Rhinolophus ferrumequinum: one gene and its partners. The protein of the gene in region 3 binds, or shares a complex with, the protein of the main gene of each other region. Links are inferred from orthologs where the notes say so. Each region holds a gene or a part of one and is shown on either strand. Other genes may lie near its edges.

Region 1 (6,433 bases), on a different chromosome or scaffold from region 3:
TGACAATAACTGTAGTGGGGCTGGAATTTTCCCACATTTGTTCAAATATATAGTAATCCTGTCCTGAGAGCTAGAGATCTCTCTACATGAGATTGGAGTGCTGAGACCCACCTTGTTTTTCCCTACATTTACAGGTGGCACTGGAAGGCCTTCGGCCAACCATCCCACCAGGCATTTCCCCCCATGTGTGTAAGCTCATGAAGATCTGCATGAATGAAGACCCTGCTAAGCGGCCCAAGTTTGACATGATTGTGCCCATCCTGGAGAAGATGCAGGACAAGTAGGACTGGAAAGTCCTTGCCTAAACTCCAGAGGTGTGGGGACACTGTTAGGGGACTATGTTTCCCCAAAGCTGTGGGCCTCTGGTTGCCTCCCCTGCCTCCAGTCATGGTACTACCCCAGCCATGGGGCCCGTCCCCTGTGCCCATCCCTACCGCTGTGGCCCCAAAAGGGGCTGGGCTCAGCTTTGTCACTTGCCACATGGTGTCTCCCAGCATGGGAGGGATCAGCCCTGCCTGTCACAATAAAGTTTATTATGAAAACAGGCTGGTGTGGGGACAAGAGGACAGACAAGTACATTTAGATTGGATGGCTCAGGTGAAGTAGTGTGGTTTCTTCACATTGATGCCATACTCGCTGAGGGCAGGGGTCAAGTCCTCCATGGTTAGAGTGTACTTGCGGTCCTGAGGGAAGAGGGAAGAGCACCAGCTAAACACAGGAATCCCAGATTTCAATCCCAGGTGGGTGACCCTGAATAGGTCTTTCACCTCCCCTAGGGCTGTTTCCCGAAAGGGGTTTCAGGATAAATTAAGCCTCCGCTGCTGGGAGGTAATTACTGATTCAATGAGCCTCCCCTCACACCTTGCTCTTGCTTCGGGAGCTGCCCGAGGCTGTGCCCTTCATTTTGCAGTGCTGTAGTGCATCATTGGCAATATCTGAGATGAATTTTTGGGCAGCTAGGGAGATGAGCCGAATTCTAGAGAGAGAGAAAAAAAAAACCTAAGGAAATGGACAGCAAATCCACACAAGCACCCAACTCTCGAACTTGCCCAGAATTTACTCACATGCGAGGGTCCGAGGCCTCAAAGCCAGCGCGGTTCAGGTAGTAACCAGTCACTGCATCTGGAATCTGAGAGATCAATTAGACAGCTATTAGTGTAAGCCCTATGCACTGCCAGGCTGAGAGTGAAAAGGTGAGGGAAATGGAGGACAGGCCTGACACTCGCAGGAAGCTTACAGTTTGGGTGGGCAGAGGGGATAAGTCACAAGAGCAAGTATGGGAGGGAAACACAAGAAGACGACACTGGAAATCCAGGTGGTGTGGAGGAAAATTGGCGTGACAGCGGGCCAATAGCCTTGTTCTGGCAGGAAGCCCACCGTAGGCGTGTAATCCTCCAGCTGCATCAGGAAGTCCACCAGAGGCGTGCTGGACACCACCGGCTTCACGTCTCCGTTGGCCGCACTCGGCAACACATAAACCCCGTTAGACATGGCCCCCTCCGGGGGCGCCGCGCCGCCTGCCGACACCGCAGCTGGAGGAGAACCAGCAAACTGAGACACGGAGGTGGAAGGCGCAGGGCCTCAGCTAGGTCTGCCTTATACCCTCTGCCCTCCCCCGCCGAGGAGCCCCGAGAAACACGTTGCCCTCACCCTCACCCGTCCCGGCCCTCACCCGCCCCGCGCCGGTCGGCCGGCTCCCCGGCCCGCGCTGCCACGGGTCCCGTGCCCCCTGCCGCGGCTCCAGCCCCAGGCCCTCCTGCTGTCCCCGCGGGGCTGGCCTTATTCTCCGCAGCGGTGCCGGCGGGCAGCACGGCGGGGGCCGAGACCGCGGGTGCAGGGCCCGGGGCCGAGGCGGCGGAGGCTGGCGCCGCCTCGGGGTCCGCGCCGGAGCCGCTGCAGCTCATCTAGCCGGTGGGAGAGGCGGCGAACAGAACCGCTTCCGCTTCCGCTCACGTTACGCACACACCCGAGTGACGTCACTCCTCGCGCTTGCCCCTCCCACGCCATGACCGCTCTCTCCCCTAGGCTTCTCTCCTCCTGGTTGCCTGTATGCCCGCTAGATGACACAGACCGAGGGGCGGAGACCAAACCTTGGAGAACCGCGCTGGCCGCGGACGTTCCACCTCCCACCGCTCCGTACTCGTCGGTGGTTCTGCAGGGCTGGGAATCCTGGAATGTCGAGGACTCTTCTGCGGATCAGGGACCCTCTTTCAGCCTGCCACCTAAAGACCTCTCTTTTGGCTCATTGGTCCGACAGGGTTGGACCATCTGCCAGCCTGCATGCTTTCCAGTTCCCTTATTCAGCCTTTTAAAGGTTCGTAGTGGAGGTGGAAAGCGCCCCGCTCCCCGCCAGCTGCCCGGAGAAGTGCAGTCTGCAGGAGCGCGCCCAGTGCTGCTGTAGATGCGGAGGGAGGTGTTTCAGCCTGAGTAAAAACACATATGCAAAAATCACAGCGAGGGAAAGAGTGAGGTTTTCAATGTAGCAAACATTTATTTAATTCCTATTTGCCAAACCTGAGCTAGGGCCTGCGAATGCAAAGTTTAAGTAAAACAAGACTCTAGTCCTCTAGGCACCAACTGTCTTGGAAAGGGAGGCAAACAGGTCAACTGGCAATTTCAATACTATGTAGGAGTTACAATACTAGAGGTAGACAAAGTGTGCAGTGCAAGGGACAAAGGGAACTAACACCTGCTGCCTACTTCTGTGTGTCAGGCACTCTTATCACCATTATTCCATTTAATTATTCACTGATAATTATGAGAGGCAGGTATCGATATCCCCACTTAACAAGTGAGGAAAAGGCTCAGGGAGATCAACTTACTGGCCCCTAAGGCTCTCCCCTAGTCTGTATCAGAAACAAGAATCAAACGTTTGGTTTCAAAAATCTAGGATTTTTGTGCTATACCAAAAGCAACCAGTAGGGAGCCAAAAGGTTCACAAGGGAATATAATGGATTCTGAGCTGAGTCTGGAAAGAATCCTGGAAATCAACCAAGCAAAGAGGAGTTAGGGGTAGTGTTAAGGGCACAGAATATCTTGAGCACAAGTGAAAGAATGTATATGGGAGGAAAGCAGGGGAGGATAAACAATTTGTTACTCAGGAACAAATAGCAAGGAAGAAATAAGGTTTGTGAGTCATGACAAAAAGCCTGAACTTTACCGGGTAATCTTTGAAGGATCTTAAATAAATGACCTGATGAGATTTTCATTTTATTCTGGAAGATGGTTTAGGGAAGGGCAGGAAATAAGGTAATTTTTTTGCAAGGGCCTTAAAATTCAGAGGAGAAAGAATACGGCTCTAAGCTAATGTAGTAGTGGAGATAAAGATAAGTAAATGAGTTCTACATGTACATAAGAAATATAACCGGCAGACCTGTGCATAAAGATGTGTTTAAGAGGCAAGTCAGTAGGACTTGTTAATTGAAGGTGGTGGTGGTGGTGGGCGATGAAGGAAATAGGAGTCTAGAATGACACCCAGGTCTCTGGTTTGGTTGGAAGAAGCATAGTATCATTTACCAAAAAGAAGAGAACAGATTGAGATTGGGAGAGAGATAAGTGTCAAGTATCACATATCTTCCTTTTGAAGTATCAATCACTGTTGGACAGAAAGTCTGACGTAGTGAGATGATGATGGCTGTGGATGCCAATCATGACGGATTTGTTCCAGGGGCAATAGGTAGAGTGAGAAGAGCAAAAGACTGAGGATGGAGAAATGAAGTACACCAATATTCAATGAGGAAGCAGAAAAAGAGGACGAAGGGGGTGGTCAGAAAAGAAGTTAAACCCTGGAAGCTACGGAAGGAGAGGGAGTGGGCAACTATGAAAGAAGGCCATAAAGCAAAGATTGGGAAGTGTGCACTGGAGGAAGCAGCAGGGAGGCCATTGTTTTTCAATGTCAGGGGAGGAAAGTACAAAAGTGAGAGCAGAAGTCTCAGTGCAATGAATTGAGGAGTGAACATGAAGTAAAATTCATGAGTGCACAGACAGTGTAGACAACACTTTGGAAAAGCCTGGTTGCAGAGAAAGAAGACATGGTGCGGGGGTGGGCAGTGTTGAGGGATGCATTCAAACAGCACTGGTGATAGCATCTATTGAGAAACCTGAGGCGGGAGTAGGGAGACCTGAGTATGATGGAACAGGGTTAGGGTTGGGAGTCAAGTCATGCTCATAGCACTTCAAGGTTAGGGGGATAAGCTCTCAGCAGTCAACAGGTGAGGGTTCAGCAGGATTTCCAATAGTGCAGAATAAGGAAACAAGCCACAAGCTGTGGGGCAGGAGACAGGCCCACTCTCCCGACAGGAAAGGGTCAGGGGTTGATTAATGTCTTCAGCAGAGCTGGGAAGTTGGGTGTTCCCCAGCCTGTCACAGGATCCCAGCCAGGGCCAGAACAGAAACCCTGACCCTGCACCTCTTCATTCAGACAGGACTCATGGCAGCCACGGATGACCTAGGGAGAGGGTGAGCATCAGATCTGGGCCTGCTGGTACCAGTACTAACAGACTACACCCCCGCACCCAATAGTCCCATCCTATGCTCTTATGAAAATGTCCACACCCATCCCTTCCACACTCACATCAAAAAGTCCTGCCCCATGCTGCTGGTAGAGCCTTGGGTTGAGAAAGCCAAGAGGGGGGCGGCCACTGAGGATTCTGTGTTCATTTATCAGGGACAGAAGCCCTCCAAACACTGGAGTAGAGGCCTGCAAGGTGCAAGTAGAAGTTAGGGGTTCAGAATGACTGCACTTTTGGGGAAGGATATTTGAAAGGATCAGAGGTCCCTGAGGAGTTAGGGCTTCTGGGTGCAAGGACTTAGGGGTAGAGGCTGAAGGTAGTTCCTAAAGGTTGGGAGCCAGGCTGATTCTCACCGAGGTGCCAGACACCCATGGAATGGGCACACGGTTGCTGACCACCCAGTAGCCATCAGAGAGTGCAGCTACATCTGGGTAGGCACGGCCACTGGCATTGAAGTAACTGGATGGTGGCATGTGGGGGCTGGATCTCAGGAACTGGGTTACAGCTTCCTCCTGAAAGGCATTGTTGAGTGAGTACTGTCTCCTGAACTGAGGATTCCCACCCTTCCTCACCTCCATCTATCCACACAAACCTACACTACACGTACCTGGTATGAAGGGCGTGGGAACACATTGCTGAAGCCACCACCACTGATATAGTCAACAATCTCACTTGTGACTCGAAAAGGATTCTGGAAGGATGTGCCTCCCACTGTGGTGACATAGGGGCTGAGGGCAGAAAACAGCACTCAGATTATAGGGGCCCCAAGGGGACTTCCAAAATGTGTAGATGTTGTCACACAGCAGCCTAGCAGACTGTCCCCCCATGTCTTTCCTTATGGAAAGAAAAGTCTGTGAGACTGTGCCTTTTTGGGACGTTATTTATCTCAATGTTTTATAGCTCATGTCTCTCTATCTAGTCTCCAAAAGAGGGTTTGCAGCCAATGACGAGTAAGATTCCCCACGGGGCGGGGGGGACAACTCAAGCTAGGCGGAACCCCATGGAGACCCCAATGAGCTGCTTTAGAAAGATCTGGGAAGGGGACTTGCCCCACTCCCCCCTGCCTGGGAAAAGCCGCTGCTGACTCTGACTTTTCCCTCTCACCTAATTGGGAGAAAAGTCTTGAGAGTGATAAGATTAAGCTCTCTCTGCTCAGCTCTGTGAAACAATTTCACCATGTGATATATGTCCCTTAAAGGAGTTGCATACCTCACCTCAAGGACTTTCTGCTTCGGCTGTTTGAAGATCAACATAATTGGTTTGGGTTGTTTCTATAACGTGATAAGTGAGTCTCACAGACTGTGCCAAAAACACTGCTACTCCCTTGTATACTTATCAATAAAAACCTCCAGTCGGCTCATATCTGGGCTCCAGTCTTTCAGAACTGTGAGACCCCTGGCCTTCTGAGATTTAAACTGCATTAAGTCTCTGTTTGTTTCTTTCTTAAAAACTTAACCCAAAGCCGCCCCTTCTCACACCCTCACTGCCCGTGTTGTGCTGGATGCGACATGTAGAGATGGGTGAGTCTGGCTTGGGTCTTGCGGGAGGGTCTGGAATCTGTGGGGAAGCATGCACATGGGGATGAGTAAAAGGTTTTGAGCCCTCAAGGGTGGCCTGAGGTGACTGCACATTTTCCCTACAGAACACCCACCAAATCTTCCACCAGAATGCCTGGGGACTAAGAAAGAGGAACACTGGGAGCTGTGTCCTACTCAGGGAGCTGTGTCCTACTCAGGGGCCTGGGACCTACAGGAAGAGGGGAGTACAGCAACCAGGGTGGTAAAGCTGAGGCTGAGCCACAGGAACACCTGATAGGGTCAAGGCAAAGGCTCTAGATCATGAGGTCACAAATGAAAGGCTGGTGGTCACAGATACATGGTGGGCTGGGGTATTTACCTGGAGGCAGGGAAGCTGGGACGGAA
Region 2 (7,021 bases), about 6.7 Mb from region 3:
AGGGATCATAAGTAGATGACTAGATGAACAGATGAATAAATAGATGAATAGACAAACACACATGTGGTGTGGAACATCTATATCCACTGCGACTGTAAGCTCCTATTCCTGCCAGCTTTACTTGGTCACTCAAACAGCTGGACAAATGTAAGCGCAGTTGGCAATACTAGTGGGGGTAGGATATGGCAGCTAAAGCAAAGGCCCATTCTGAAACTGTCATTCCGCAGCTCTTGCTAAATAGCCCAGGGTCCCCGAGGTGGGGAGTGTGGGCATCGTGGACCTAACCCTCTATTATTTCCAAACCTAAAAAGGCAGGACGTGCTGACCTAGGGGTTATTTAAATGCATGGTCTCATTTGCTCAGAAATCTTTCACTAGGTTGAACCAGAGTCACCTCTAATTAATGACACACCTAGTGTAACAAGTGCCTGCAGATCCTCCCTGCCCGTAGGAGTCACAGGGACGAGAGCTGGGCCAGCTCTCAGGCCATCAACCGTCTACAACAGACACAGACGCAGGTCAGGAGGAGTGAACTCCCTTACACAAGGGAATGGAGACACCACCTTCCACTCTTTATGACACACTTATTAACATAAGGCCCAAAGTGAAAACATGGTGCTCAACAAAGATTTCCTAGTCTCGCTTAACTAACTCCTCAGCCGAAGTTCCAACAGTCTCTGAGTGAGAGCACTAAGAGTAACTTGGCCTGTACTTGAAGGCAGGAGACGAAAGTCTCTCACTTCAGCAGGATACACTGGGCGTTAAGGTCCCTCTGGCAAACCTCCAACTGCTACATCATTCAACTCATTAAGAGACAGGCAACTCCAAACTTGCATGGTCTTTCTCTCATCTCTCAGACATCAGAAGTGCAGAAATGTCCAAGGAATCCGGGGAAGATTCAAAACCCAATTCACACATTCAAAGAACATTTATTCAACACCGGTGAGTTGTCGGGCACTGATCTAGGGACTGGGAATATAAACATGAGAAACACTAAGTCACTCTGAAAACTGGAAGTTGATCCATCCATCATCATTTCCCTTAATCGTGCCCAACCGGTCAAGGCTCCAGTCAGGAAGTTCTGGTGTCCCCCTCACACCAAATAAGGCTCCTTTTCCCCTTCCCTGCCTGCGATCACGGGTGTGCCCACCTGGACCACTCTCACTCTACTTCACCAGACGAATCCTCACTTCCTTCAAAACCAGCTGAGGTTCCTCTCTTCCTGGAAGCCCTGATCTCCACCTCATCCCAAAGTGATGCCTCATTTCTCTGAACTAACAATTACGGTCTGAGTACCACCATCAGTTTATTTAGAAATGTATCGTTTTGATACTTTTATTTACTCAACAAATCCTGAGTACCAAATGTGTGACAAAATTGTCTTACGGGCTGCAGAAATTGCAGCATATGGTTTGCCTCCCCCAAAGAATTCCTAAGGAGAGTTCTTCTCTTAAACTGCCTTTTCAAATCTTCCTGTAGAGAGCTTGGTTCCTACTCAATGCTTAATACCTAACAATTTATTAGAGCCTGAGGGTTCCTTCCACCAAGCTTACCCAAATTGAAGTTACATAAACTAATGGGGAACAAAACCAAACCAAGCCATTTCTAAATGAACTTCCACTTCTTAAAAACCTCAAAAGAACAAGGAAGGAAAAGAAAACAGGCTATGAAAGTGCTGCTGAACCATCACATTTTACTCACTGACAATCCCCCCTCCAAGCCACACAGAAGTGACCTTCTTCTCTCAGTCTTTACAGCTTAGATTCAAGTGTTTATTTTAACAACAGACCTTGGAAAAGTTTAAAGCCTCCTTGGATAGTTTCCTAACCAAGTCTTTCTAAAGCTTTATTTCTTGATGAGTAAACCCCCTGATGCGTCCTGCATATGCCACTTAACAGACTAACCCAATGAGGTTCACTACAAGGAACCAGAATGTGAGCCTCAAGCACCAGGGGAGCTCAAAGAACACTTTAGACGTGATAAATCCAGAGACAATTTTAACATAAACAACAAAAGCCAGATCCTGCAGAGCCCAGTGGAAGGTTCCAAGTTCCCAGAAGAAGGAAATCAGGGTAATTTCCTCCAGGGGAGCCGCGAGATTCTGCAAGACGCGGGTGTTTCTGCAGGAGGTGAGGGAGATTTAAAATATACATATATTGCTCCGAAGTGGCGTGTTAGACACGACAGCTGGCACCCTATCGCGGGCGAGGGTGAAGCCGGGCTGTGCCATGCGGCGGAGGCAGCCACCTGGGCACTCCCACCATTCTTCGCAGCCGGGTCAGGACGCGAGACAAGAAGAGCCCGGCGCCGCTCGGACCCGCACCGGCGACCCTCGCCCCGTGGGCCGCCTGCCTTCGCCCCGGGGCACCCGGAAAAGCCACCCCACCCGGGTCTCAGGACCCTCGATCTCTCTGGGGACCCAAGGGACAGACGGTGGAGATGGGCTCTCGTGGCGGCTTCCCGGCCCCGGCGCGTTACCCACCTGAGCAGACTGGAGAGGGGATGGCTCGAGGAGCCCAGGCCGCCGCCGCCGCCGCCGCCGCCCCCGGAGCCGCCACCGCCGCCGCCGCCCCCGAAGCCTGAGGAGAGCCGCTTCCCGGACAGCAGCTTCTCCACCGCCGGGAGGTGCCCGGTGCGGGCCGCCTCCAGCAGCTCCTGCTCCTTCCCCATCCCCAGGGCCACCGCCCCCTGGACCCCCTTCCCGGGGCCGTCGCCGAGCCTGCTCGGTCTCCCAAACTTTCCGTCTCCGGGCAACGCACCCCCCAAACCGGCCGGGGACACCACCCCCCTCCCCCCCGCCAGGCCCCCCCACGAGCGCGTCACTTCCGGGATCCGGCGTCACGCGTCACCGCGCCCCCGCGCCCCGCCCCCTTACCCACCTAGCTGGGCGGGGCTCGGCGGTTAACGCAGGTGGCTGTGGTCGGTGCCTCCTGGACTTGGCTGAGCCGAGGTAGGCCTCCGGGGGCGAGAGAAAAGCGCCCTGTGGGCGCCCGCTGTACAGGTGGAAGGGAACAACCAGGGCCCACCTGTGTGCGCCTCCAGAACTGCGCTCCTTCCCCAAAGGTTTGGGAGCCCCCAGGACAGGAAATACGGTAATGCGTCCAGGCAGTGTAGAAACAAAGAGAGAAATACGGTAACGCGCACCTACATTTCCTAGTCCATTCTTTCCGCACGCATAAATTAAATATGTAATGAGTGTGGGGACCTAATGACACACAGGTGAATAAAATGCCCCGTACCTCAGTGAGGGAAGACAGGAAATTTTTAAAATAGAAACATCTCCACTTCATGCTCCCAACCCCTGAAATGGCTCCTAAAATGAAACAGTCAAAGGAAAGACCTCCCTCCGGATGGAATTTGTTTCCTCTTACTTTTGATAGTATTAACCAAGCCGACATGAAAAGTCAGGTTAGTGAAACTGACCCTGACCTTGAGTACTGGTGAAGTGTGAAAATTATTTAATTGGGTATAAACTATGTCTGTTTTGTTTCTGGTACGAGCACCGTTCCTGGCTGAATTAGGTTCTCGAAGTAGTTGTGGATTGGGTAAATTCTGTTCAAGCTATGACTTTAAGGTGCTTGAGGAAAAGAGAAATGCTGGCAATTCAGTATAAACACAGGCCCGCAGACTCTGTCCAATTGAACTGTGTACTAGGAGGCTGAGTCCCTGCCTAAAAGTTCACCAGGTAGCCGCACGCCACGACACGCGCGTACCACGGAACTGAGTTTTCTCCCGTCCCCAAACTTTACTCTGAGGAAAGCGGTTAAGGAAGGAGTTAACGACATTGCGTTTTCGGAAAGGCGGGAAAGAAAAAGAAATCCTTCGATAAACAACACAGCACTTATTTACAAAGGTTGGCTTCCCAGGATGGAAGATGCACAAACTAAACTCCCTACCCTTAATTTTCCCTCTCCCCACCGCCATCAAATCTGAGTTAAAACGGAGCCTTGAGGTCCTCCAGGAGCGCCTCAAAATGACCCTCCGAGGAGCGGTAGGGGTGATGTCATCGCAGCGCGACGACAGGAAGTAAGCTTCTGGGCTGCTGTGCCGCGCTAGGTCCCGGGCTTCTGAGAGGGACAGCACCGCGATCTCCTCGCCCTTATTCTGGAGGCGATGGATAATGCCTGCGAGTCGCCCACGGAGAAGGGTGGGGAGACAGGGGAGTCCGATGAGACAGCCGCTGCTCCCGGGGGTCCCGGGGCTACTGACACGGACGGAATCCCGGAGGAAACTGACGGGGACGGAGATGGGGATTTGAAAGAAGCTGCGGCTGAGGAAGGAGAGGTAGGCAGAGAGGTGTTGACGAGGCTGGAGGAGTACCCCGAGATTGTGTTACTGGCTGCTCGACCACCTTCTTGATCGATCCCTCCCAAGCGAAGTCGAACTCACCAGGACTCCCTCTAGCTCTGCAATCGCGCAGGCGGGGGGGTGGTAGGAGGAGACAAAACTATAGTGTCCGTTCGGTTCCGGAGACCCAAGCACTGGCTTAATATTTTTAATCCCTGCCCTTAGCGATTAAAGCTACTTCTAAGGGAATTCTAAATAGCCTGTTGGTTTTACTGGGGAGGAAATTGGGATCCAAATTCACATTGAGAGGGTGCAAGAGCTAGAACCCAGGATCCCTAGTATCCCTTTCACCGCAATATGGTTTCTATTAAGATGTTGCTTAAGCATAACTTTGTTATTTATTATAGGCTGCAGAGTCGTTAAAGGGAGATTTTGAGAGAATTGCTGGTTTAGTCACGTTCTCCCCCTCTTGGGACATTTAACTGCTACCTCTGGGGGCCAATGTCCAAGGGTCTCTGTAGCATAAACGCGCGAAACCCATCAATTGTGCCACCCAAAAGCTCCGCAGTGTTGTTACCTAGCTGAGCATCCGTCAGGGGACCAGAATCTCAGCGTTCTCAAGGTTCCATTTCTAGAGATAGAATCTTGGGGTCTTAGAGCCATGAGTGAGGGACTTCAAGAGGTCATGGAGAAGGACATTGGATTAGAGGGAAACAGCCTTTCAGCGCATAAAGTTGCATCAAAATAGATAAAGCAAGAACTTTTAGAAAAAAGTGATTAAACTATTTTAGAAGGAACCTTTAAAATGGATCTCAAGGACAAAAAGGATTTGAATAATAATTAGCGTACATACAGAAATTTGCACCCAACAGAAGATGAAATTATTTTTTTTGATGCTTCTGAAACACTTTTAAAAATTGCACATACACCAGACCACAAAGAAAAACAAATTCTTAAAAGTAGATATCATAACGGGCCACATCCTGTGCGATACACTTGAAATTAACGACAGAAAACATCTCCTACCCCCACTCTTCCCCCAAAAAACTAACACCTGGACATTTTAAACTGTTTTCTAAATAACCCATAGATTAAAGAAATTAACAGAGAACACTACATCAAATTCTATGAGGTTTGACCAAAACCTTTTTAAAGAAAAATTCGGGGGCCTGCCCCGGGGCTCAAGCGGTGGGAGCGCTGCGCTCCTAACAGGGAGGTGGCTGGTTCCATTCCCACAAGAGCCAGTGAGCTGCGCCCTCTACAGCTAAAATTGTGAACAACAGCTCTCCCTGGAGCTGGGCTGTGGTGAGCAGCTGGAGAAGGTTAGCTGGGCCTGCTGCTGGCTGCTGTGTGCTGCCATGGGCTGCTGTGTGCTGCCGTGGACATCGTGAGCTGCGGTCGTGGACATCGTGAGCTGCTGTGGGCTACCGTGTGCTGCCATGAGTGGCCGGCAGTCAGCGTGAATGGCCGGCAGCCGACGAGAGCTGCCATGAGCTGCTGTGAGAGGCTGACCGATGACCGGCAACCGACTGCCTCAGTCCCGGGGAGCACAAGGCTCATAACACCAGCAGGGTCCAGGGAGCTGTGTCCTACACAGCTAGACTGAGAAACAGCGGCTGGAACTGGAGTGAGGGGGGAGTAGGGAGGGGGAGGCGGAAGAAAGGGGGGGAAAAAAAGAAAAATTCATAGCCTTATGTATTTTTTTTTTTTTAAAGGTTTTATTGGGGAAGGGGAACAGGACTTTATTGGGGGAACAGTGTGTACTTCCAGGCCTGTTTTTCCAAGTCAAGTTGTTGTCCTTTCAATCTTAGTTGTGGAGGGTGCCGTTCAGCTTCAAGTTGTTGTCCTTTCAGTCTTAGTTGTGTCGGGCGCAGCTCAGCTCCAGGTCCAGTTGCCGTTTTCTAGTTGCAGGGGGCGCAGCCCACCATCCCTTGCGGGCTGACCTTGTGGTTGAGAGGACGCCCTCCAACCAACTGAGCCATCCGGGAGCTCAGCGGCAGCTCAGCTCAAGGTGCCTTGTTCAATCTTAGTTGCAGGGGGCGGAGCCCACCATCCCTTGCGGGACTCGAGGAATTGAACTGGCAACCTTGTGGTTGAGAGCCCACTGGCCCATGTGGGAATCGAACTGGCAGCCTTCGGAGTTAGGAGCATGGAGCTCCAACCGCCTGAGCCACCGGGCCGGCCTTAGCCTTATGTATTTTTATTAACAAGCAGGAGAAATTGAAAATAAGCACCCAACTTAAGAAACCAAGAAAAAGGAAAAATAAACCAGAAGAATGTAGGAACAAGGAGTTAATAAGAATAAAAGCAGATGTTAATGAATTAATGCTTGCAAAACATAAGAAATGATAAAGACCTGGCTATTTGAATGTAAATGCACAACATTATGAAATAAGAAAGGGCAATACACACTGATATGGAGATCTATAAAGTTATAAAAAAAATTTCAATGTTCAAATTTTAATTTTCAATAGATTTGAAAATCTAATAAAAACGGCTTATTTTTAAGGAAAATGTAAATCAAAATTAAAGCACAAAGAGGTTAGAAAACTTGTATAAATCAATAACTAGAGAAGAAATTGAAAAAGTTGCTAGACATAAACTATACTCACTCTCACCTACCCCTCATAGTCCTTTATGAGTTTAAATGTGAGTTCCTTTTTACGGAAAACAAAGGTTAAATCCCATTAATGAGGATTTAATATTGGTTTGTTGTATCCTTAGATTCTGTATTA
Region 3 (7,076 bases):
CACCAAAATAAACACATCTACCAATGAAAGGGAAACTTGGCAAGGGCCCCAGAACTTTCCCCACCCCAGCCCTCCCTAAACTTCCTCTTGTGGTTTCTCAAGAGTACAACCTGTTCTCTCCCCAGCCTGAAGAGTGCCTGGGGCAGGGGGCTGGGCGCACGGAAGGTTCCACTGCACCCCACCTATGATGAGAGAGGAAGGCGTGTGTGTGTGTGTGTGTGTGTGTGTGTGTGTGTGTTGCAGCCTGGAGGCCTGTCGAGTTCTCAACTTTCACATCCTGCTTACCAGTTACCTTGGAGGCCACCCTCTACCCTCCAGCCTGAGCATCAACCCCTGTTCCCCAACACACACCCCTCTAACAAATATAGATGGTAGGGGGTGGTTTGACTGCAGGCAAAGAGACACAGCGTCAGGGTCTCTCCAGATCTGTGCAGAGGGCTCTTGGGAGAAACCCAAACGTTCAGAAAGGTAATGGGAAAATGGCTGTAATCTATGGAATCTCTGCCCCATGGCCTGGTTTGCATCACGGGCATTGTCCCAGCCTGCCTGGAGGGGTGAGGTCGGGTCCACAGACGCAGCTTTGCGATGCAGCAGCTCTGGGGAAGAGAGGTGAGCATCTTAAGATTGCTTCCACTCCTTGACGATCTTCCTTACTCAGCTAAGTTGGATTGTTCCTCCTGGAATCTAGAATATGAGGATCTCTGCTATTCTTAAAGATTTCCAACAAGAGAGGTGCCTTGGTTTCCCAGCTACCAGATTCTGGCACATCTCATCTATGTTGAGTTCTTTCTTGCATCAAACCTTGGTGTGTTCCTCTTGCTGACTGAAGCTTAGGAAGTTCATGCGCTGACACACACACAAGGCCTTTAGGAGAGGATACCAGCCAGCTCTGTGCTGTTACCTCAACCCTATTTCAGGCCTTCTGGGGCTCCCTGTGAACAGCACCAGCACCCACGCTCATACAGGACGATGGCGTCCCTTTTGGAAACTCCTAAGCCCTTGGTTCAAGTGCACATTCTATGTGGTCAGTCAAGGAGGCAGGCTTGCCTAGTAGTTAAGAACAGAGCCTCCTAAGTCATGTGAGTTGGCTTTAAACCCCAGCTCTGCCATTTATTTCTCGTGTCCTCCTTAGGAAAATTACTTCTTTTTGCCTCAGTGTCCTCATCTATAAAATGGAGATAATCCTAGTGCTTACCTCATAGGACTGTTTGGAGGATTAAATGAGACATTACACCTAAAACATTTAGAAGAGTATCTGACAGCACCATTAAGCATTAGCTAGTATTCTGAACCCTTGAGGGAAGGAACAGGGAGGAGAAGGTCCCAAGGTCTGGGCATAGACTTGGATCCTGCTGGAATTCTCAGAGATGCTTTTGATTCTAACTTCCAGGGGGATAGAAGCTCTGACTTGTTTCCCATTATGTCCCCAACATCTAGCCTGTGCAGACGGTATGACCACAGCAGACAGTTGCTGAATTCATAAATTGTTGTCAGTCATCTCTCAAAGGAGCCCAGGAACTGAAAGAGCAGAAAAATCTGCAGAAAACCAACGGGAGAGCCAGTTCTCTTCATCCTTGTTGGGTCCCAAAGAGAATTGCGGTGGGGGGCACAGAACAAGATTTGTTAGAAGAAGCAGTCCTAGAGTCCAGGGCTGGGGAGTGGGTGCCCCAAGATTGTGTGGACTGTCACATCACTCCCAGGTGGACCTTCCCAGCTGCATCTAGCTGGGAATTTCTGGGTTCTTGGGGACCAGCCCAGAAACTTGCCTTCCCCTGAATTCATCATGTTCATTCCCACTTCTTCATTCCTAGACAGGGGGTTAAAGAGAGCAGGAAGTGCTTTTGGGTCCCTGTGTTACCCCAATGCCCAACAACACAATCAGGGTTCAGTACCACTCTGTGGAATGAGTAAGTGTCCCCCAAGACTTCCCACCACTTCTCTGCCTGGTGACCATTCATCATTCAGAACCCAACTCAAACATCCTGTTCTCTCTGAAGCCTCCCAGCCACCTGAGCTTGGAGACTTATCTCTGTTGATCATGACGCATACTAGCTGTTGGGTACATCACATCATCGCACCCTCAGCATCCAATACAATCCCAGACATACAGGTGCTCGGTGCTTGCAAATGAATATATCAATGCTCCCTTAGTAACAGCAACCACTTGCTTCAGTTATTCCCCTTGTGGACACATGAAAAGACACAGAAAAGGCTAAGACCATCACTTGTGTACCCATCAGACACCAAACACTGAGGGGTCCCTCCTTCCAGTCTCCTCCTCTGGCCTCCTTCCCTGGCCCTGGCTGGCAAGAGAACCTGAAGGCTCCCTGCCCACACTGCTTCTGCCTTCCTACCGGCCCCCACCTCTATCTCTGAGATCTAGAAAACCACGACAGCCCACTGACTTTCCAGGATCGCGGTTCAGGTTGGAGGGGGCTGTGCAAACATGTAGAGCACTCAGGGCTTTGGTGGGCTTCTCCGCCCCTCAACTACATGCACAACAAACAGCTCACTGAGAATATAAGCCAAGCTCTTGGGGACAACCAGGAGGTGACGAGAGCGCAGTGACCTCCTCAACCCACCCACCTCCGACCCCTACCCCGGTGTCCTGCCTAAGTTTGGAGGCACCAACGAAGGGGGAAGATGCTGACCCCCATTATCTTGGCTTCTCCAGCCTTCAAGCCTACCTCCTTGGCAGGTGAGCCCCCCGAAGCACCGATTGTGGCCGCAGACACTCTCTCCTGCCGCCTCTGGCTTCTCTTTTTGGGGAGATGGGGGTTCGCAACCTCCAGCCGCAGGGAGGGGCGTGCACCACTCCCCCAGACGCCCAAACAGAACCAGTCTCCACCTCCCGAGGCGCCGCATGTTTACAGTCTTCGCTGAGCCGCGGATCGAGAGTTTAAAGCTGGGCAGGAAGTGGGGAAGAGGGGGCGGGGGAGACAAAGCGAACTGGATGCTCTGTTCAGCTAAGGTTTGGGCCAGGACTCCCGGTGTGGTCCCCCGCCCCCGCAAACCCCGCCCCCCGTGCCCTAGGCGAGAGGGCAGAGGCGCGCCCCCCAGACTCAGGTACGCGCGACTGTGCAGGTGCAGCGCAGGTTTCCAGACTCCTGCCTCCAGGCGTTAGCCGCTCTTCGACGCGCTACCCAGGAAATAAACAACAGGAGACGCCGTTTCTTGACCTTGCTATACGTCTAACACCGCCACAGACCCTTTGTATTAGCTCTTTCCCCCCTTCTATCAATCACACCCCCGTTTCACAAAAGAGGAAACTGAGGCCACAATGCAGTTAGGTCCTGCGCCCCTAGTCCCACAGCTGGCGCGTGTTAGAATTCAAACCCATCGTCTTCGTCCCGCCAGGCACCCGCAAACCGAGAGGAATAAAGCCCAGTTCGGTCAGCGCAGGAAGAACCCATCCGGAGGGTCTGGCGGGCGAGTGAACAGGAAACCACAGGCACCGCAATGCCCTGGGAGTGAGGCGGGCAAAGGACAGAGCCTCTCGCCCGCCTGCCCCTCTCGTCTGGCCCCGCAAATACCCGCGGATTAACTGAGGGCGAGACCGCAGCTGGGAGCAGTGGAAGACCTGGACTAGGTGGTCGTTAGGCTCTGGTTGCAAGTGGGGCACTGACCGGCTGCAGAGTCATCATCAGTACAACACAGATTTCTCCAAATTTCCCGCTCAGGAGAATCACCTGGAGAGCGCAACAATACTTATTATCAGGCCTCCTCCCGCAGACAGTGAGTCACCGGCACTGGGCGGGACCCAGCCAGGTGTTACTAACAGTCAAGTTCGGAGCGTTCCAGGGGTGTGTTCTTTATGAGAAACGATTTCATCTTGAAATAGGTGTAAAAACCGAGGGCGCATTTTCCCGGCCAATTCCGAGGCTCACCGGGGCCACATCAACCTGCAGCTCACTGGAAGTCACGTGAGTCGGGTCAACTGAAGCACCCCCGCCCCCAAACGCCTCCTCACTGAGTTTCAGAAAGCCCAGAGGGGCGCACGCCGCCCCGCCCCCTCTCCCCGCCCGACGACTACAAATCCCATCCTGCCTTGCGCTCGCGCACGTTACGCCAGAGCAAGATGGCCGACACGACGGCCACTGCTGGGGCTGGCAGCTCCGGAACGGTAAGGGCGGGAGGCGCGGGATCGAAGCCGAGAGAGTCTGGGCGTTCTGTAACTTTTCCTTAGGCTGGGCAACAAGCTCATACCCAGACGTCCAGCCCCACTAGGAGCTTCGAGTGGAGGAGGGTCTTTCAGGCCGTATATGCCCCCCCTCCTTGGTACTTGGCGGCGGCCTCCTGAGTTGGTGGACCTGTATACCGATTGGCTCGTTCCCTGTTGGGGGTTGGGAACCCGGAACACCTCCTGATTGGTCCGAAGAGCCCCTTTAAGCCTTCTTATTGGCTAGCCAAAGTTGGGAGGGATTCCCGTTTCAAAATATTTAGCTTTCCTACTTTGCTGTTAAACCCTTTTACTCTCTTCAGCATCGTGTGTTCTTGTTTTAATTTTACTTAAATGGTGTGGAGACGGGAGGAACAAGAGAGAGATCTTTTTTTCTGAGAGATAGACAAATCCCATCGTGAGTGGTTTAAAGAGATAATTTTTTTCTGGGAGATAGGCATGAATTCATTCCCGTCATGCGTGTTTCTTCAGTTGTATATTCAGATAATCTGCTAAAATAAAAAGTAAGAAACACTCATTTGTGGTATTGGAATTTTTAAGTTTTAAGTAAGCAGAAAGGCTATCTCTAGAGCCCCTTGGATGCTCAATTATTACTCAGTTGGCCAAGATCTATAAGTCTAAACATAAGAGCTATCCCATTTAATTAAGCACTGATAAATATTTAGCAAAAGAATCTTTACTTGGCCATTGACGATATATGAATTATGTAATTGCATTCTTGTCCAGTGAATGAAATCTCTCTTTCTGGGCTGCTGATTCACAGAGATCAGGAGGTAAACAGTCCACTAACCCTGCTGATAACTACCATCTAGCCCGGAGGCGAACCCTGCAAGTGGTTGTGAGCTCCTTGCTCACAGAAGCAGGGTTTGAGAGCGCTGAAAAAGCATCTGTGGAAACGTTGACAGAGATGCTACAAAGCTGTAAGTACCAGGAAATAATAGGCCGCCTTCACGTCAACCAAACATTTGTTCTGTGTTCTGCGTTGTGATAGTGTTTGAGAGGATTTAAGAAAAAGAACACAGTAAAGTGATTTATGGGCTTTAGAATCAGATAAGACGGGTGTAAGTCATTGCTCTGCCACTTAATAGCTTGGGCACGTTGCTAAACCTCCTGAACCTTAATTTCCTCATTTGTGAAATGGGGTGATAATTTGCACCTCATAGAACTGTGAATGTAAATGAGGTGTATACTTAAAACATTCAATGCTGGGAATATTGAAAGCTTTTGATGACTTGTAGGTGCTGTTATTATTGCTATTTGTGTTCTATATTCAGAGAACTTACGGTTTTGTTGGAGTCAGGATTAATTCCCATGCCATCACATGATATACAGTATTTTGCTGTATTTTGCTGTGTATAATGCGCTCCCGTATATAATGCGCACCCATGTTTTTGGCCCAAACTTTCAGGGGGAAAAAAACCTTCCGTTTTAATTTTTTTAATTCAAATCGCTATTTGTTTATATGTAGTTACTCTTGTTTTTTGTATTATAAAGGAATTTGAGCACTTATTTTTTAATGTCTTATGGTACAAGAAATTTTATGTAACAAATAATTACAAAACACAAAAACAGAGACAAGGTACAAGCAATTTTATGTACTGGTAATAAATTTACGATATTTAAACATCATAGAAGGCGAAGAACCCTTTGGCATTGCAAGTTCGTCATACATTCAACAAAACCAATGATCATATTCTGGGTATTATTTTGCATGTGGATATCGTTATTGATTTCTAGAGTTACATTTTTGACTCATAAGCATAAATAAAAGAATTAAAACATTTACGAGTAGCTACGGAATTAGTGGAGTTGTGTATAATGCACATCCTTATTTTCCCCTCACAAATTTGGGCAAAAAAGTATGCATTACACATGGCAAAATATGTTAATCAAATGCTATGTTATGTGATACAAAGAGTAAGGGTGAATAAGTTTTGTAGAATGCGGGGAAAAAACACTTTAAAAAGGAAATGTCTTGAGGGTTAGGAGCTAGAATGGTCTCACATAGGCTTTTCTGCACGTACAGTGTATTTCCTTATTTGGGTCTTTTTTGGGAGTAGGATGGGATGAGGGATGGGTGTATGTTAGGTGTTTTAGAAGGATCAACCTTTATGAATGGAAGTGAGAGAAAGGTTTAGGCAGAGGGAGAAGTTGAACTGCAATGCAGGCAAAGAATTGGCCAACTCATTGGGGAGCTTGGGTGCTAATTGTCCATCAGGTATCCCACATCAGATGGAAAAGTCTCTGCCTTTGTACTTTGGTCTTGATCAGTCGCTACATTTGGGCTCCCTCAGGCAGGGCAAGATCTGGGGTGAGGTGGCTCTTTGACATTTGGAGTTTTAAGTACCAAATGTTTGCCTAAAGCAGTAATCTCAAACATTTTGGTCTTAGAACACCTGTGGACTCTTAAATATTGAGAACCCTGTGGAGTTGTGTATACATGGGCTCTCTCTCTATATATATAGCCACACTATAAAGAAAACAGAAATTTTTAAAACAAGAATGAACAAGCATACGATCAGTTATCCATCAGAGCCATGATGTCATCACAGGTCCTATAGCCACTAGAAAACTACATGAGAGAATGAGTGAAAAGTCAAAGAATGTCTTTATTTTATTATGAAAACAGTTTTGACCTGTGGACTTTGGAAGGGATTTCAGGAATGTCTACGGATTCCCAGAGCACACTTTGAGAACTTTTGTCCTAAAGGAATGGACTAATAGTTCCCAACAGATAAGAATTCAGTTCTTGGAAAGATTTTGGAATTCAGAGTTTAAAGGTCCTTGGAGTTGAAGCAGTTCTTTCTCATACTACTGGACAAGAGGCCTTTTTTCTCTCAGAAGAAACGGTTGCCACGGAAGGGGATTGAGCTGAAATAGTTGTGTTAGAAAGCTA
Region 4 (7,674 bases), on a different chromosome or scaffold from region 3:
GTTACTACCGTGTTCCCCGAAAATAAGACCTAGCCAAACAATCAGCTCTAATGCGTCTTTTGCAGCAAAAATTAATATAAGACCTTATTTTACTTATAGTAAAATAAGACTGTGTTTTGTCTAATATAATACCAGATCTTATATTAATTTTTGCTCCAAAAGACGCATTAGAGCTTATGGTCCGGCTAGGTCTTATTTTCGGGGAACACGGTATAAACTGTTCATGCTAGTCATCAACTCAAGCTTTGCTCCAGCATTTCTCCCATCTCCCTGCACCATCCATTTCTTAACCTACCAGGTCGTTCCCATCAGCCTACAAAATGCAGTTATTTCTCCCATCTTAAAAAAACAAAACAGTGGTATATGTACAGTGGAGTATTATTCAGCCTTAAAAAGGAAGGAAATTCTGACACCTGCTACAACATGGATGAACCCTGAGGACATTATTCTGAGTGAAATAAGCCAGTCACAAAAGGACAAATATGGTATGATTCCACTTGTGTCAGGGTCTTAGTCAAACTCAAAGTCAAAAGGAGGTAGGGAGGATGGAAAGTTATTGTTTAATAGGTAGACTTTCAGTTTTACAACATGAAAAGAGTTCTGGAGATGGATAGTGAAGGTTGCACAACAAAGTGAATGTATTTAATGCCACTAAATTACACTTAAAAGTGGTTAAGATGGTAAGTTTTATGTGTCTTTTCACCAAAGTATATATTAAAAAAATACTTTCTTCATTCCACTTTCTCTATATGCTATACCCCATATTTGGTTCCTTCTTGCAATAAAACTTCCTAAAAGAGTTGTCTTAACTCTGTTTCTAATTTCTCTCCTCTCTTGGACCTATTCCAATCAGGTTTCTGACCCCACTGGGTCCCTGAAACCGCTTAAGATCACTGAGGCATCACATTGCCAAATCTGAGGCCCACTCTCCGTTCTCATCTTCCTTACTCTCTCAGCAGCACATGGCATAGCTGACTACTCTCTTCTGACAACACTTTTTTTACTCCACTGCTGCACTACCTTCTCCTGGTTTTCCTCCTACCCCACTCCCTTTTGGTTTCCTTTACTGGTTCTTCCTCTTATCTGCTTAATGTTGGAATGCAATCCTTAGTCTTCTTCTGTAGCTATACTTACTCGCTGGTGACCTCAACTTCTGTTTTCAGTATCCCTTATAGGCTGATGGTGGCCAAATTTATCCCCAGCACAGAGCATTCTTCCTAGCTCCAGGCTTGTATGTCAAACTGTCTCCTTAAAATCTCCACTAAAACAACTCCTGATCTCCCCCGCCCCCCTCCTCCAGCCTCAGCTTTCCTGTCTTTGTAGTGCCATCACCCATGCAGGAGCTCACTCTCTATGTAAGCCTCACTTCAAGTCCACCAGGTGACCCAAACTGATTCCTCCATTCCCACTACACGGTCAGGTCCCCAGCATCTATTATCTGGGTGACTTCAATAGCCTCCTGATAAGCTCTTCCTGCTTCCACCCTTGCTTCCCTACATCTATTCCCAATATAGCAGCCAGAGTGATTCTGTCAAATTATAAATCAGATTGGGTCATTTATCTGCTCAAACCCTGTAATGGCTCCCCATTTGCCATCGAGTAAAATCCAAAATTTTCATATGGTCTACAAGGCCCTGCATGATTTGTCCTCTCCATTACATCTCTGATCTCCTTTCCTTCCTTCTTCCACCTTGATTCAGCCAGCCCCACTGTGCTGCCTGCTGTTCAAAACTGACAGGCATGCTCTTGATTTATGGGCTTTGCTGTTCCTTCAGCCTGGAATGCTCTTCCCCAGATGTCAGCTTAGCTGCCTATTTCATACTGCACCCCCCCACACACACTCTGCTCTTCCCCCGCCCCGGAGCATTGAACATCTAACATATACTGTATTTCTTATTGTTTATCACCACCACACACATCCCCTCCTGCACCGAGTGGACATAGATCTTTGTTATGTCCACTGATATATTCCAAGACCACAGACTGTTGCCTGAGACGCCTTAGATAATGCACATTTGTTGAATAAATGAATGAATTGTGAGGTTTAGAGATGTATGTGCTCAATACATACTCACTACCACTATTAAGACGAAGAAGACACAGGCCCAAGTTTTAAAATCTATTCTGCGGTAAAAAGTAAAGGGGCTTGCTTGAAGCTGGCATTAGGAAGACTAATGTCAAAAGTGTTTAGGACTGATTGCAGGGTGTAGGTGGGGGCGTGCTGGAGGGGTGAGAGGATAGAGGCGAAAGAGAATTTGGTTCTTCTCAAACCATCCCAGGTCTCCTCTCCCACTTTTGTAAGTCTTATCTGCGGGGAACACATTTATTCAACACATACTCTGTTCCTGGAGCCGGGTATACAAGAAGCGGTCGTGTCCCAGTTTCCTGGCGAACTCCCACTAATCCTTCAATACCCTGCGGTACCGTCTGCCAGTAAAGGCTCATAAATCACGTGACGGCCTAAGGAGCCCCTCAGGTCAGTGGAGTCGGCAGGAAGGCTTCACAGAGGAGGACCTTGAGCTAGATCTTTGTAGTTCCCTCAGCAGGGAAGTGGGTCGAAGATCCCCAGGCAATGGGTCCAGCGCGAAAGAAGCAGCAGAGCCCACCTCATCCCCCAACATCCCTCCAATGCAAATACACAGAACCCACGCGCACGGACACACAACCAACCGTCTTCCTCCGGGTCCCCACACAGGCCCGTCATAGGGTCTATTCTCAGGTACCACTCAGACCCACCCCCACCAGCCGTGCGCCCCGCTCAGGAAAAGACTCTCACCGCAGCCAAAGCGCCGCTCACCCGGCGCTCGGCGCCATGTTGGCCCCGCCCCCTCCCGGGAGCAGGTCCTGGCAGAGATGGGGAGCAAGTCACCGCCCCTTCTCCGAATCGGAGTAAGTCCCCTAGGCTCACGGCCTGAAACGATATAATAAACGCTGTTCCGCTGTCTACGTGTAAAGAGCACAGCCCCCTGCTATAATTACTTCTGTTTATCCCTTCACTATCGGGCGGCCAGGACCTTCGCGAAGCGCCACAAAACTGAGGTGGGGATGCCCTGAACACAGAGGCCCCACCCCTTCTTGGGCCGGCACTGCGCATGCGCCTCCTGTGCTAGGCTAGATTAAAGTTAGCGCTGACAGCCTTGGAATTTAAAGGGCCCGCCGCCTCCCCGAAGTTGGTTTGAAGGCAAAGGGTGGTTGGTTGTGGACAGCACTTCTGTCATGGGACCTGTGCGGTTGGGAATGCTGCTTTTCATTTTGGCTGTGTACGGTGCTTGGGCTGGGACGCCGAAGGAGGAGGACGATGACACAGAACGCCTGCCCAGCAAATGCGAAGGTATCTGAAGGGAGTAGCCCCTATTTGCATCCCTCTGCCCCAGTCCTTTGTCTGGGCCGGACCAGATGGACCGTGACGGGTGGGTCACTCGACCTCCTTAAAGATCCGAGGAAGGTTCTGGTGGAGTTTGGCGGAAATCGAATGGGATCAAGGGAGGGAACTCATAGCGCTACCCCAAAATTATGGCACTATAATTCCCATGAGACACCCAGAAAGGGCCCGCTTTTTCTGGCTGGCTTGTGACCCAATGGTTTGTGGGAATTCTCGTTCAGGGACTATCTGCGCAGGACCGCCCACTCTACTGAGCATCTTCAGTGTGTGTGTGTGTTTCCCCCATGCCACTGGACCTAAATCTGGAGAGCCTGCAGGAGCGTGGTGTGACGCTCATACCTTGTGGACATCTCTGCTCCACCCCGGCAGAGACGCTCCCAAATTACAGGTCCCACGTTCTCCTGAGGGGGTTTAGAGGTGAGTAAGTCAGCCCTAGCTCATAAATAAAAGAGGAGGCCACACAGCTAGGAGAGGTTCCCCATACGTTTGAGGCTTTGCAAAGGTTGTGTACTGTATGGATTTTACAGCAGACAGCATCTTCTGTGGCTGCATGAAGTTTGAAGCCCAGCTCAGAGGGGGCACTTCAGAGCTGGACCATTGAGTGCTGTGGTTCTCTAGTTTGTTGCCTTCCTGACATTAATTTCTTCCCTGAATTCTTTTACCCTTAACCTAAATTTCAGTATCAGTGTTCCTCAAGACTTGGTCCCACTCTTCTCCCCCCACCTCTGTCAGTTTTTCTAAACATATACACAATCTTGTCAGTCCTTCGGTCAGTCCTTGTTTTAACACCTCTGGAGGCCTCCTGCTGTGTTCAGACTACAGCCCACATTTTTTAAGGCAGAGCATATGTCTCTTTATTGTATGCCCCCACCTTTCTTTCATTTCCGTACCCCAACTCCCATCCCCAAAGTTCCCATGCTTAAGCCACACTGAACTTAGTGGTCACTGAGCTTGCCTTATCTTTTTGAACCTCTGTGCCATTGACGTTTTTCCCTTTGCCTGGAATGACCCTCTTCCTTCTGTAGGTGGTTCTTCAAGATCCAATTTAAATGTCACCTCCTTTTGAAGTCTTCTTTCTTATATATCACCTCCAACCACATTGTAAGCCCTTGGAGGGAAGGAGAGTACCTGTGTCTCCCAGATTCTAGTATAGTGCCTGGCACATTTTAGGCACTTTTGTTACTTGCCTTTGTGTTTAGTTCACTTGGCACATCTGTATAGGCCACTCCCTTTCTTGAGACCTGTCACATGCCAGGTCACATGCCAGGTGCTGGAAAGACAGTGGTGGAACAGATGCAATGCTCGCCTTAAGGAAATTGCAGGTTAGTAGGAAGTCAGTATGTGACCACTGAATGAATTTTGCATTTTCTAATGAGATTATGTCTCTTGGTCTTAACCGCTAGTGTAGGGTCCTTCACACCATATTGTTGTCTTTTATCTGTCCCCAACAATATTGGCAGTGTCCCATGGATAGAGATCGTGGGTTTTATTGCTCTCTGTATTGCTATTGTGCATCCAGAAGGAGCTCAATAAATAACTGCAGAACAGCAGCAAAGACTAATACAGTGCTCACTGTATGCCTGGCACTATTCTAAGGGCTTTCCATAGACTGATTTGTTTAATCCTGACCACACCCCTATGAAGAGGTACTGTTATTATCTCTATTTTAGAGGTGAAGAAACCAAGGCACAGCAGGATTGTCACACAGCTACTAAGTGGCTGAGTCAGGATTGCAACCCAGCTAGGCTGGCTCCAGAGTCTGCACTTACAACCATCATGCTCTACTGCCTTTGCTCATCTGCAGAATGAGTTGCTGGCATGTTTGTTTATTTCTCACGTCCCCTTGAACATCTAGTGTGTAAGCTGCTGAGCCTGGAGCTACAGGAAGAGCTGAGTCGCACTGGCCGATCTCGAGAGGTGCTGGAGCTGGGGCAGGTGCTGGACACAGGCAAGAGGAAAAGACATGTCCCTTACAGCGTTTCGTGAGTCCTTCTTGGTGCCCCTCCACCCTCAAACCCCCAAAGGAGCCCTGGGAGCTCGTACAATATTCAGGGAGTCTTTATTTCTCCTCTTCCCACAGAGAGACAAGGCTAGAAGAGGCCTTGGAGAATTTATGTGAGCGGATCCTGGATTACAGTGTTCATGCTGAGCGCAAGGGCTCACTGAGATATGCCAAGGTCAGACTCTTCCCCAGGGGAGGATCCTACTTCTCAGACCTGTATCCTCTGGGGCCCACCTCCCCCAGCTCTTGACTGTCCCCTCCATTGTTAAGACTCCCTCATCTCACCCTCAAGAATTCACCCAAGTCTCCAGTAGTTGACAAATCTGATATGGTGGAAATGGACAGAGGTGGGTAGTAGGCTATGCTGATCCCAAATTCCCATCTCTCAGGGGCAGAGTCAGACCATGGCAACGCTGAAAGGCCTGGTGCAGAAGGGGGTGAAGGTGGATCTGGGGATCCCTGTGGAGCTGTGGGATGAGCCCAGTGTGGAGGTCACATTCCTCAAGAAGCAGGTGAGATAGGATACTGCACTGACCAAGGAGGTGAGAAGGGAACCTGAAAGGGGTGCTAGACCCGAGGGAGGTCTGTCCCTGAGCAGGGAGAAGGGGCGAGAGTGAGGACTCTGCCATTAATTGCAGGAGCATACCAAGAAGTTATAATGGAGGCTAATAATATATACTACCACTTACCGAGCACCTACTATGTCCTAAATTCAAAGCCGCATACATTTCAGATGCTGCCTCATTTTAACCTCACAATAACCTTGTTACCATTTCCCATTTTACAAGCAAGGAGCTGAGAGTCAGAGTTTATTAATAACCTACCTGGCAGAGTAAATGTTTGTTGAATGAATGAGGATCACACATCTAGTAAGCCAAATTTAACCTCTGGCTACCTGCCTCTCTAAGGTGGGGTGGGGAGACAGGGAGTGAAGAGCAAAGAGGAGGGTTTCCAAAGTTCAGCTGAGCAGATACCCTTCTGACCCTTCTACTTGACCAGTGTGAGACGATGCTGGAGGAGTTTGAAGACGTGGTGGGAGACTGGTACTTCCACCATCAGGAGCAGCCCCTACAGCATTTTCTCTGTGAAGGTCATGTGCTTCCAGCTGCTGAAACTGGTAAGTGTGTGGGCTGGCCCTTTCCTGCCAGGTGACAACATCCCCTACCCCCAGGACACATCTAAATTGTTTCCTATTACCTAACCTAGGGTGTCTACAGGAAACTTGGACTGGAAAGGAAAAGATCACCGATGGGCAAGAGAAGACTGAAGGAAAGGAGGAGCAAGAACAAGAGGAGAAGGAGGAGGCGGAGGAGAAAGAGGAAGAAGAGAGGACCAACACACCAGGCCACTCCAAGCACGACCCAGAGGATCTTTGACCCTTGCTGTTGATCCCCAGGAAGGGCAGGGCTCACAGAGAAGAACTCTCTGAAGTCTGAGTTCTCCCTGCCTCCCAGTTTTAAGGGTGATGTTGTGAGTGATCCAACCAAGAGCTTGTAGCTGTTCTTTCCCATTTGGTCTCAGGCAGGATCCTGATGGTACAGCATGGCTATGGGAAGAAAGGTGTGTACAGTAGGTGAAAGCCCAACCCCAACAGATGAGCACTCTGCTTGCTGACTAGCTCCTTAATTGTAGGTGTGTGTGGTGACAGTATTGAAGGCTTTCCCCTTTAAATATCTTTACTACTACCCCGCCCCCCGCCCACTAGAGGTCAGGATGGCATAGGAGTTGTGGGCCGTGGGAAGGTCACTTTGCCCGTTTTTTAGACCCAGAGAGTATTCTCTACGACATAAACACCGCCTGCATCCAGGTTACATACCAACAAACTGTAACCGAGGGGACACTGGACGGGATGGGGTGATGTTGGTAAATTAGGTGGAGTAGATACTTTATGTACTAAGTATTAATTTCACCGAGGGCCCACCACATAATTTCACAGGTGCCAAATTTTCTATATCGCTAGTAAACTTAAAAAAATACACATCATCTGGGTCCAAAGTTTCAAAACAACTGCCGAGCACACAGCATACCTAGCTGGCCGATGTGGCAGCGCCCAGAGAATAGGACTGGTGGCCGCCTTCCGGTTAGAAGCGAGTAGTGCTTCGTAAAGCTGCTACCGGAGGAGGCTGGTAGGGAAAACACGGCTGAGGGCCGTATTTAGCCGCGGGTCAGTGCAACCCCGGCCTGCGCATGTCTGAGACTGCGCGGGGATTCAAATTCTGTGCGTGGTGCCACCCCTGCCGCAAAAATTGGATTTACGGCAGCTCGCACAGGACAAAATCCTTCCCGCCTC

What was found.
Region 1: the proteins of TAF8 (region 3) and TAF10 are in contact, whole or in part, in a crystal structure (PDB 4WV4), measured with the Homo sapiens proteins. The link is inferred for Rhinolophus ferrumequinum from reciprocal best matches to the Homo sapiens genes TAF8 and TAF10. Residues at the interface, in NP_612639.2 of Homo sapiens: Arg33, Thr36, Leu37, Val40, Ser43, Leu44, Leu45, Ala48, Gly49, Phe50, Glu51, Ser52, Ala53, Glu54, Ala56, Ser57, Thr60, Leu61, Met64, Leu65, Gln66, Tyr68, Ile69, Ser70, Ile72, Gly73, Arg74, Ala76, Lys77, Cys80; in NP_006275.1 of Homo sapiens: Pro115, Leu116, Phe119, Leu120, Leu123, Tyr126, Thr127, Thr129, Ile130, Pro131, Val134, Thr135, Tyr137, Tyr138, Leu139, Ala142, Gly143, Phe144, Glu145, Ser147, Asp148, Arg150, Ile151, Leu154, Ile155, Leu157, Ala158, Ala159, Gln160, Lys161.
Region 2: TAF8 (region 3) and TAF11 share a complex: the UniProt entries of both Homo sapiens proteins name them as parts of the TFIID basal transcription factor complex. The link is inferred for Rhinolophus ferrumequinum from reciprocal best matches to the Homo sapiens genes TAF8 and TAF11.
Region 4: TAF8 (region 3) and TAF6 share a complex: the UniProt entries of both Homo sapiens proteins name them as parts of the TFIID basal transcription factor complex. The link is inferred for Rhinolophus ferrumequinum from reciprocal best matches to the Homo sapiens genes TAF8 and TAF6.

The regions. Positions count from the first base shown.
Region 1 is NC_046294.1:45,221,199-45,227,631, reverse strand, and holds TAF10 (transcription initiation factor TFIID subunit 10), read right to left. Parts: upstream 1,928-6,433; 5' UTR 1,905-1,927; coding exon 1,673-1,904; intron 1,533-1,672; coding exon 1,378-1,532; intron 1,130-1,377; coding exon 1,065-1,129; intron 977-1,064; coding exon 862-976; intron 684-861; coding exon 594-683; 3' UTR 517-593; downstream 1-516. Other genes in the region: ILK (integrin-linked protein kinase), read left to right, coding at 135-284; TPP1 (tripeptidyl-peptidase 1), read right to left, coding at 4,307-4,447, 4,574-4,699, 4,865-5,023, 5,119-5,239, 6,408-6,433. UniProt on the Homo sapiens protein: The TFIID basal transcription factor complex plays a major role in the initiation of RNA polymerase II (Pol II)-dependent transcription.
Region 2 is NC_046286.1:4,993,852-5,000,872, reverse strand, and holds the start of TAF11 (transcription initiation factor TFIID subunit 11), read left to right. Parts: upstream 1-4,007; 5' UTR 4,008-4,112; coding exon 4,113-4,283; intron 4,284-7,021. Other genes in the region: ANKS1A (ankyrin repeat and SAM domain-containing protein 1A), read right to left, coding at 2,482-2,669. UniProt on the Homo sapiens protein: The TFIID basal transcription factor complex plays a major role in the initiation of RNA polymerase II (Pol II)-dependent transcription.
Region 3 is NC_046286.1:11,715,958-11,723,033, forward strand, and holds the start of TAF8 (transcription initiation factor TFIID subunit 8), read left to right. Parts: upstream 1-4,073; 5' UTR 4,074-4,078; coding exon 4,079-4,123; intron 4,124-4,528; exon of another isoform or gene 4,529-4,683; intron 4,684-4,943; coding exon 4,944-5,100; intron 5,101-7,076. UniProt on the Homo sapiens protein: The TFIID basal transcription factor complex plays a major role in the initiation of RNA polymerase II (Pol II)-dependent transcription.
Region 4 is NC_046290.1:90,401,665-90,409,338, forward strand, and holds the start of TAF6 (transcription initiation factor TFIID subunit 6), read right to left. Parts: upstream 3,021-7,674; 5' UTR 2,777-3,020; exon of another isoform or gene 2,339-2,776; intron 1-2,338. Other genes in the region: CNPY4 (protein canopy homolog 4), read left to right, coding at 3,667-3,799, 5,238-5,364, 5,463-5,559, 5,774-5,896, 6,384-6,501, 6,591-6,760. UniProt on the Homo sapiens protein: The TFIID basal transcription factor complex plays a major role in the initiation of RNA polymerase II (Pol II)-dependent transcription.